Linked DNA regions of Caenorhabditis elegans. The protein of the gene in region 1 interacts with the protein of each later gene in a pairwise test. Each region holds a gene or a part of one and is shown in the gene's direction. Other genes may lie near its edges. The genes, in order: ceh-2 and tbx-9.

Region 1 (3,926 bases):
AGCTACAAAGAAGAAAACAAGGTTGGCATTTGGCTAGTTTTTCTATTAACATTGTGTTTTGGAAAACGGTCACAACGTTTTGGTGGCTGAAGGTATCAAAAAGTTTATAACTAAAACTTTGTTCACTATTATTCAACAAACATTTTGTTAGTTGATCATTTTTCAAAATATTTTATCTCAACGAAGTTATGCAACTTCAAAGTTGGTTAAATATTTTGCACAAAGTTCGTGAGATGTAGATCATTTCGACGGTTTACTTGCGAATAGAGAGTTAAAACTTGTGTAATGTACGTTTTATACATTTCTGAACAACAACATAGCAATTTCATAATTGTTTAGAAAAATGAAATTTTTTGAATTTTTTGCTTGGAGTTGATCAAGAAATTTTGAGCAAAAATGAAAAAAATAAAAATTTCCAAAAAGTGCGGACAATGATTCTAGGTTCCCGAATAAGAATAAAATCACTTTAAAAATGCGCAAAAATGTTTGAATGAGTTGTTTTACAACTTTATTCAACTTACAAAAATATTTCAAAAATAGAAGGAATCGAACCAAAGCTTAAATCTTATCAGACGCGCGCACTCCCAACTCGGCCACCGAGGACATTTTACAACTCAATGTGGTGGGTGTCACATTTTCGGTGGTCACGCAAGCTGAGATTTGCGTGGATTGCATGGTAAGACAGTGGATTTCAATGGTGTTTTTAACTGAAATTTCAAAACGTCTTAACTTTGCTGAAACTTGACCTGGGCAGCTAAATTTTTTGGAGAGATCATAACTAACACTCTTCTGTAGGAATTTTAGCATGAGAACCCCAAATCTACGGACCCCCTCAAAGACTTCCCTTGTTAGGACTTTTTCAGTTGAGTAAAGTATTTTCGCCACCCTGGATTTTGGGTAAACCCACCCATTCGTTTCTGTTCAAAAATTCTCGCATATTCAACAATAACAACTTCTTTGTTACCCTTCTAATGACCTATTTATTATAACAATAATAATGAATAAATATGGGCGCTAGCTCAGCTCACGGCGAGTCAGGTTACCTCCGCCGAGTCTGGTACACAATTACATAATCTCGATGTCGTCAGTGTCTATCCAACGTAGAGGTTGAATCTATTATATAATAACAATCTTGTATGCTGTTCGGAAATTATTGCTCTCTGAAAAGTTGATTTAAGCCTTTTTGATTTGAAAACCCCAAAGAGTGACATTTGATATTCCACCTGCTGCTCTACACACTTCGCTCCTGTTGCTGTCGTCGGAGAGATGGCCGAGCGGTCCAAGGCGCTGGTTTAAGGCACCAGTCCCTTCGGGGGCGTGGGTTCGAATCCCACTCTCTTCAGTTTCTTTTTGAACAATTTTATAAATTTTGTGCTCATCTCGTGCTCACTTCACCTCGATTACTAACATAATATACCTATTTCTGAGCCCAACGTCCGCTGCTTTCGGGCGCACAAAAGATGTAATCCGAGATCTGCGATTTGTACATATTTCGGATACATTTTCAATCTCCATTTCCAACTCATCTTCTAATTCGGGACAATGAGCATCATCATGAGCATGTGTACACAAGGTAGTTCGGTCGCCCAGTTGCCGATTACATAGGCACCCGGTTGCCGAGTAGACGAGTTGTAAAAACAGGGCACCACGAGATATTGCCGATTTCCACATAAACTACTTATTAAAGTCTGGAGATTTAATTCATATGTCAAGAAAAATGTTCGTGAAAGCAACAATATATGTACTAGAAATCCCTAAGACGACGACTATCGCTGACGTTACATTGCTCCAAAAGAATGCAATGAATTGTGATTACACCATGAGAGTTTTCAAAACTTTAAACCTCAAATTAATATTTCAACTTATTAACCTACTTCCTATTCTTTTCAATTCTTTATTTGTCTATCGTCTCTTTATTCCCAATGATCTCTCTTCTAAGAGCTTCTACCTTATCGGCTACTGTGTCCAATTACCCATCGACGCTCCTCCCTCTTTTGCGCGAAACTGGGCGGAGCCTAAGATGAGATTCAGTAAAATAGGTTCTCATTTGGGAAATCAACTTACCCTTTTTGGCTAGTTTACTTATTTTTTCTAATATTCGGAGTGAAAATGACTCTGAAATTTTCGGTGGAACGACTGGTGGATAGTGAGAAGGAATCGGAAGAAGCCGACGTGGAAGAGCAAAATAATTTGAAAAAAGTAAGTGAAAATTGGAATTATAAGATTTAAAAATCTTGTCTTTAGAGTTGAAAATGAGGTTCCAAAAAAATTGTGGGGAATTTAGCTCTCCGAAATTTTTTTTTCTTGTCTAATGTATAAGTTGTCCCTAGATAATTTTCTAGACTTTAAATCTGTAAATTATTGCATAGAAATGTTGGTTTTCAAAACTGTCCAAGATGAGTGAAAAAATACGAATTTTCAAATATAATAATTCAGTAAATTCCGTAGAGCTCAAATCCGCATTGGAGGCTACTTTTTTTAAACTCAAAGGCTGAAGCCTGCTTTTAGTCAGTTTCCTTTACATACCGTGACCTAGTTTCCACTTATTTCCTCTTTTACGAATTCCGTTTGTAAAGTTTTAAACGTACTTTTAAAATACAAATCAACTATTGAGCAGAATATTGCAAATTATTGCCCCATGAAAACAAACTCTTCCACCATGCTATTTTTTCAAATTTTTCAAAAAAAAAAACAAACTTAAATGTCAAATAAATCCCAGCTAGAAGAAGACGAAGAAGACGATGAACTATGTGAAAAATCAGGAAAGAATGAGCCACTTTCACAGACACTCTCATATTTTGACGTTCTTCTTCCGCATGTTCAAATGGCTTGTTCGAATCCGTTTATTTCGGGTATTGGAGCATCAGGCAGTGGAGATCAGAATTTGAATACAGGTGCTGGCGGATCTGTATGGCAACATCCATGGCTTGAATTGTTGCAAAGTACGACAGCTGCACAATTCGGTAAGATTATCAATCGAGTTTCCTAAAATAAATTATAAAGACTTTAAACTTGAGAAAATATAAAATTTTTACAGGTGACGTCACAGCTGGGCTCTTTCTTCAACCTCTCCGAAAAAACAAAAGAATTCGAACGGCATTTAGTGCATCTCAACTGATACAACTAGAAAAGGCATTCGAAGGAAATCATTACGTCGTGGGAAATGAGCGAAAACAGTTGGCAGCAAAGTTGAGCTTAACGGAAACACAGGTGAGTGTTCGTGTTTGACACGTGGCCGCACGATACAGAAAACTCGGCCACTCACAGAAACTGAAAGAGTTCTCTTCCACACAACTGCGGATAATTTTAAACTCTTTTGTTACAATTGACCGAGTTTTTCCTCTTTCACGGTCGAGGCGTGAAAAGGGCGCCTCGACCCTTCCCTTCATTTGCCCGCGCTTGCCTCACGTTATATAACATGTTCTACAAGTTTTCGGGTTTTCTCTATGATAAACAGGTGTATTTCACAAGTATTTCACAGTCAATGTTTCAAAAAACTAAGTGAATACGAAACGTGGAGTCGATGCGCCATGTATTGAGCGCAACAAATGGCTTGGGTAGGCATCTTTGAATTTGTGTAACGTTAGAGTGAGGCTAAGTATAAAATTATGGAATATTGTATCTGAAAGAATATGTAAAAAAAATCAGAAAATGTTTGACTACAAAAATATAAAAAACTTTTTGGCCAATAATTTATTAATTCGTTGTTTTTTGATAAAACTAAAAGTAACTTACCGATTTACCTTTGGAAGCTCATATCTCGGTTTTTTTCAAAGATGTCAAAATTTTGTCAACTATAACATTACTTATCAGAAGTTTTTCTACAATTTGGAAGTTAAAAGTTTTTTATATCTTTATCTTGAATCAAGATACGAGCGGTAATAGTTCCATTGAGACATGGTGCATCGACTCAACTTTGGCAGCTC
Region 2 (3,926 bases), on another chromosome or scaffold:
GTTTATCGACCACCTGATTTAGAGGTACCCCCCGTAAAAACACCGACTCGGAGAGTTTTGGGAAGAGTAAAGTTTTACAGCTTTTTTTTTGGTGTTTTGGAGATCAGTCTTATTTTCTAGGAAAATGGGGCTAATGGGGTCGGAGAAATTTGGGTTCAGATAACAATTTGGGAAACGATTATCTCGAAAAGCTTCGAGTTTACCGAATAGTTGCCAACTGACAAAATATAGCTCTGGAAATTATGAACAATCAGTTAGTTGACAAATTTTTGATAGCTGCATCCACAAAAAAGTTAGACCCCGGAAAAAAATTGAGTTTTTTTTTGAAAGTTGACATCTTTTTGATAGCTTTTGGGAAGACGAATATATCAAAATTATCCTGACTTATAGACTTAAAAGGTTTGCTCAAAAATTGCTCAGAAATTTTAATGGATCTGCAAAATTTGGAGAGTTTTTCCTAATATTTTTGAGCAATGTTTTAGAACATTCGTTATGAAATTCGAATTTTTAATATCACTTTATGTCTAAAAATGCAAAATAATTTTGATCCGTTAACCAATGTTTTCTTTTATCCATTTTCCTTCAGCTACCAATTTTTACACCTCCAGTCAATACTGTCGGTGTTCTATCAAAAGAGCCCACTACAACTAACCGGCTCAAAAATTTTACAACGTATGCTCTTTTGGAGGTAACCGACAAAAAAGGGGTATACTTGGAAATGGTATATTATCTGGAAATAGAAGGAGGGTTTGAAGATGGAATAATGGGTAATTGTGGAAGGTATGAAAATGTAAAATGGTAAAATCTTTATTTTGAAACATTAAATAAAGTTATTTTTTTCAAATTTCGGTTTTTATATGGTACAAAAAAATTCAGTTTACATTAATTTTTACTGTCATTCTTTCTTGAGAAAAGTGATCTCAAAGTAAAAATATACAAAATCCATACTGTCGATAAGCATGGTATACATAGCATAATTCTTTAATTAATAAGGAAGTTGTATCATCTTTAAATTTTGAACATTTTTTGAAGTTTACATAAAACCAACATTTTCGGACCGTCTTCTCTATTTCTATGCCACATCAGAATTTGATCTCCCAATTTTGTTTTGAAAGTATACCCAACTCTTTTGATCTACCAGTCAGCCGCCAAGTCTTCCCAGAATCGATAGCCGAGAGGGCCACGCGCACAACCTGCCCGCCCTTGCAGAGGGGTGTGGTTTGGCAATGAGGTGAGATGGGGTGAAGATGTGCACAATTTCTCACTTCTTTGTCTTAAATCACCATTTTTTTGTGATGACATCTCTATCTTATCGTGTTTCTTATTTTTCTATTTTTTTGTTTTCTTATTTTTGAACGGCGGGGATATCTCAGACGTTATCTCAAAACTGGCAAGAGATACCAAATAGTTGTCAACTAACAAAATATTGCAAATTTTATCATTGTTGCTTTGTTAGTTAACAACTTTTTGCTAGATACCACCGTTTTTAAGTTAGAATAGTTTTCCCGCTCCTCCTTCTCACTGGTACCACACTCTAAGCAAGTGTAGCTGCCAAACCGGTGAGAATATAACATTATATCTTATACCATTTTCCAACTTTTTTTTTGCTGTTCGTTTTCATAATATATTTTAACGTTTTCAGACAAAAAATGTCCAAAGTCAAAGTATCAATCGAAGGATCCCAAGAAACTCTCTGGAAGATATTCCACGCAGAAGTCAACGAGATGATTGTCACGAAGAACGGCCGAAAGTTGTTCCCAAAGTTGGAATATATAGTCGAAGGGCTTGATGAAAACAAGCTGTATGCAATAATGCTCCAATTACAACCAGTTGGAGAAAGTCGATTCAAGTTCAGCGGTGGAAAGTGGCAGGAAACGGGCAAAGCTGAGAAGCAGGTCGACGCGAAGAAGATGTGGCATGCTGATGGAGTTCGGAAGGGAAGGTGAGTGTGACATAGGAATTGGAAGATTAGAAGCTATGAAGATTTGTAAACTGACATGATTATCAAAATAGTGAGAACCATTTTGTCAATTGGCAACTTTTTTTAGCTCCGCCCTGGTATTACAACTTCAAAGCGCCATATCTCAGCGGGCTTGGAAGTTTTAAAAAAGATGTTAACTGGAAAATTGTTAACTGATTTATCATCTACAATTTGCCAGTTGACAACTTTTTTCTAGCTTGAGCCATTGAAGAGTTAGAGCTGCCGACACTGGCATTCAAATGCCTTTGGAATATTTTGAGGGTTACATCTCATCTAACATTAAAGTTTTCAAAGTTTGTCGTTTGTCAACTGACAACATAATTCAGATGAAAATAATTCTAAATTTGCTAAATTTATATCTTCAAAGTAACCCCAATTAATTTCAGTGACTGGATGTGGAGTTCGATTTGCTTTGATCGTGTGAAAATCTCCAACTATTCAGAGTCCAACAACGCTTCAATGGTAGGATTTCAACTTTAAAATTACTTGGCAATTTCCAATTTAAAATTGAAATTTCAGATTTACCTCAACAGCATGCACAAGTACATTCCAGTGCTGACAATCTACGAGTCTCCATCGGAGAGCCCTTTCTGCGTCCCACAATCCTCAAACCAAATCGTCGCCACCGCCAAATTCCCTCATACCGAGTTTATTGCAGTAACGGCTTACCAGGTTAGTATTGAGAGTAAGAGTATTAGCGCATGGATCTTATCTCGGAAGAATCAATATTTTGTGAACAATGGGAAATCTGGGAAGGAAGGGGGAAGTCTTGTCAACCATCATACTTATCAAGAAGTCGTTAACTAATAATTTGTAACCCTAGTTGTAAAGATTAATTAGTTAGTTGACAAGTTTTTAATAGAGTTAAAAGAAGGAGAGTTACACTTGCTCAAAATTTGGCTCTATTTATAAATTTGAAACTGCGCTACTTTAAGCACTCCTACCTCGCCAATAAAAAGAGCTATATAAAAGTTGTCAACTACAAAAATATTGCTCGCTTTGTGATCCATAATATGGTGTTTAACAATTTCTTAATAGATTCTTTGTTTTCAAAGATAGAGAGAGTTGAATAATAAACCTAATTTTTCCTCATTTCAGAACCAAAAAATCACCGACTTGAAAATCAAGCACAACAGTTTTGCCAAAGGTTTCCGTGACGGGAACTTGAGTCGCAAGAGAAGATCACCATCATATTCCGACGGCAGCAACTCACAGTCCCCATCGCCAAAATCCAGATCACCACCGGAGGTCGCACCTCTTCAGTCGATGCCTCCAATCAACCCATTTCTTTTTTATTTTCCCCATATGTTATCTGAAAATCTTCCAGTCCAATTTCCATTCGCTTTTCCATTTCTCTCGCCTCTCCCGTCGACTCCTTCCAGCTCGAGCAGTGAGCTGAGCATTGTGAAGGAGGAGGATCAGGAGGTAGAAGAAGATATTGATATTGTTGGTTGATAATTTTTATGCAAACTGGTCGCTTTTGATATCATGTAATCAAAATTTTTAATATATAAATATATAAAGCTTTATATTTTCAAAGAAACGACTTTTTGAAGACCCGCCGATTAAATTAGAAGTTTGTCGACTGAAAAAGGCAGCCTAGACTGCTAGCCAACAATTTTTATACCTACAATACTTAAAAATGTATTGTTTAAAGGAACACGTAGTTTTCTGAGTGGGTCTTGCCACGATCACAGTCATAGTGGTCGCTGCAGAACCCACATTTTTAGATTTGCTTATTTGATGTTGAAATGGAAAATTTTCAAGACATTACGAGAACACACAATTCTGAGGATGCGTATTGCGCAACATATTTGACGCGCAAAATATCTCGTAGCGAAAACTACAGTAATTCTTTAGAAGACTACTGTAGTCAAGGGTTCGACTTTTTGAATTGATGTTCAATTGATGTTCAATATTTTCCTCCTTTTCTTCTAGTCTGATT

What was found.
Region 2: the proteins of ceh-2 (region 1) and tbx-9 interact in a two-hybrid assay, tested with the Caenorhabditis elegans proteins (one large-scale study listed by BioGRID).

The regions. Positions count from the first base shown.
Region 1 is NC_003279.8:6,048,571-6,052,496, reverse strand, and holds the start of ceh-2 (Homeobox protein ceh-2), read left to right. Parts: upstream 1-2,045; 5' UTR 2,046-2,109; coding exon 2,110-2,199; intron 2,200-2,719; coding exon 2,720-2,963; intron 2,964-3,037; coding exon 3,038-3,210; intron 3,211-3,926. UniProt on the Caenorhabditis elegans protein: Required for activity of the M3 pharyngeal motor neuron.
Region 2 is NC_003281.10:10,339,575-10,343,500, reverse strand, and holds tbx-9 (T-box transcription factor tbx-9), read left to right. Parts: upstream 1-1,642; 5' UTR 1,643-1,649; coding exon 1,650-1,942; intron 1,943-2,367; coding exon 2,368-2,443; intron 2,444-2,500; coding exon 2,501-2,653; intron 2,654-3,079; coding exon 3,080-3,436; 3' UTR 3,437-3,495; downstream 3,496-3,926. UniProt on the Caenorhabditis elegans protein: Transcription factor. Involved in the control of early morphogenesis of the intestine, hypodermis and body-wall muscle. Involved in regulating expression of vab-7. Appears to have partially redundant function to tbx-8.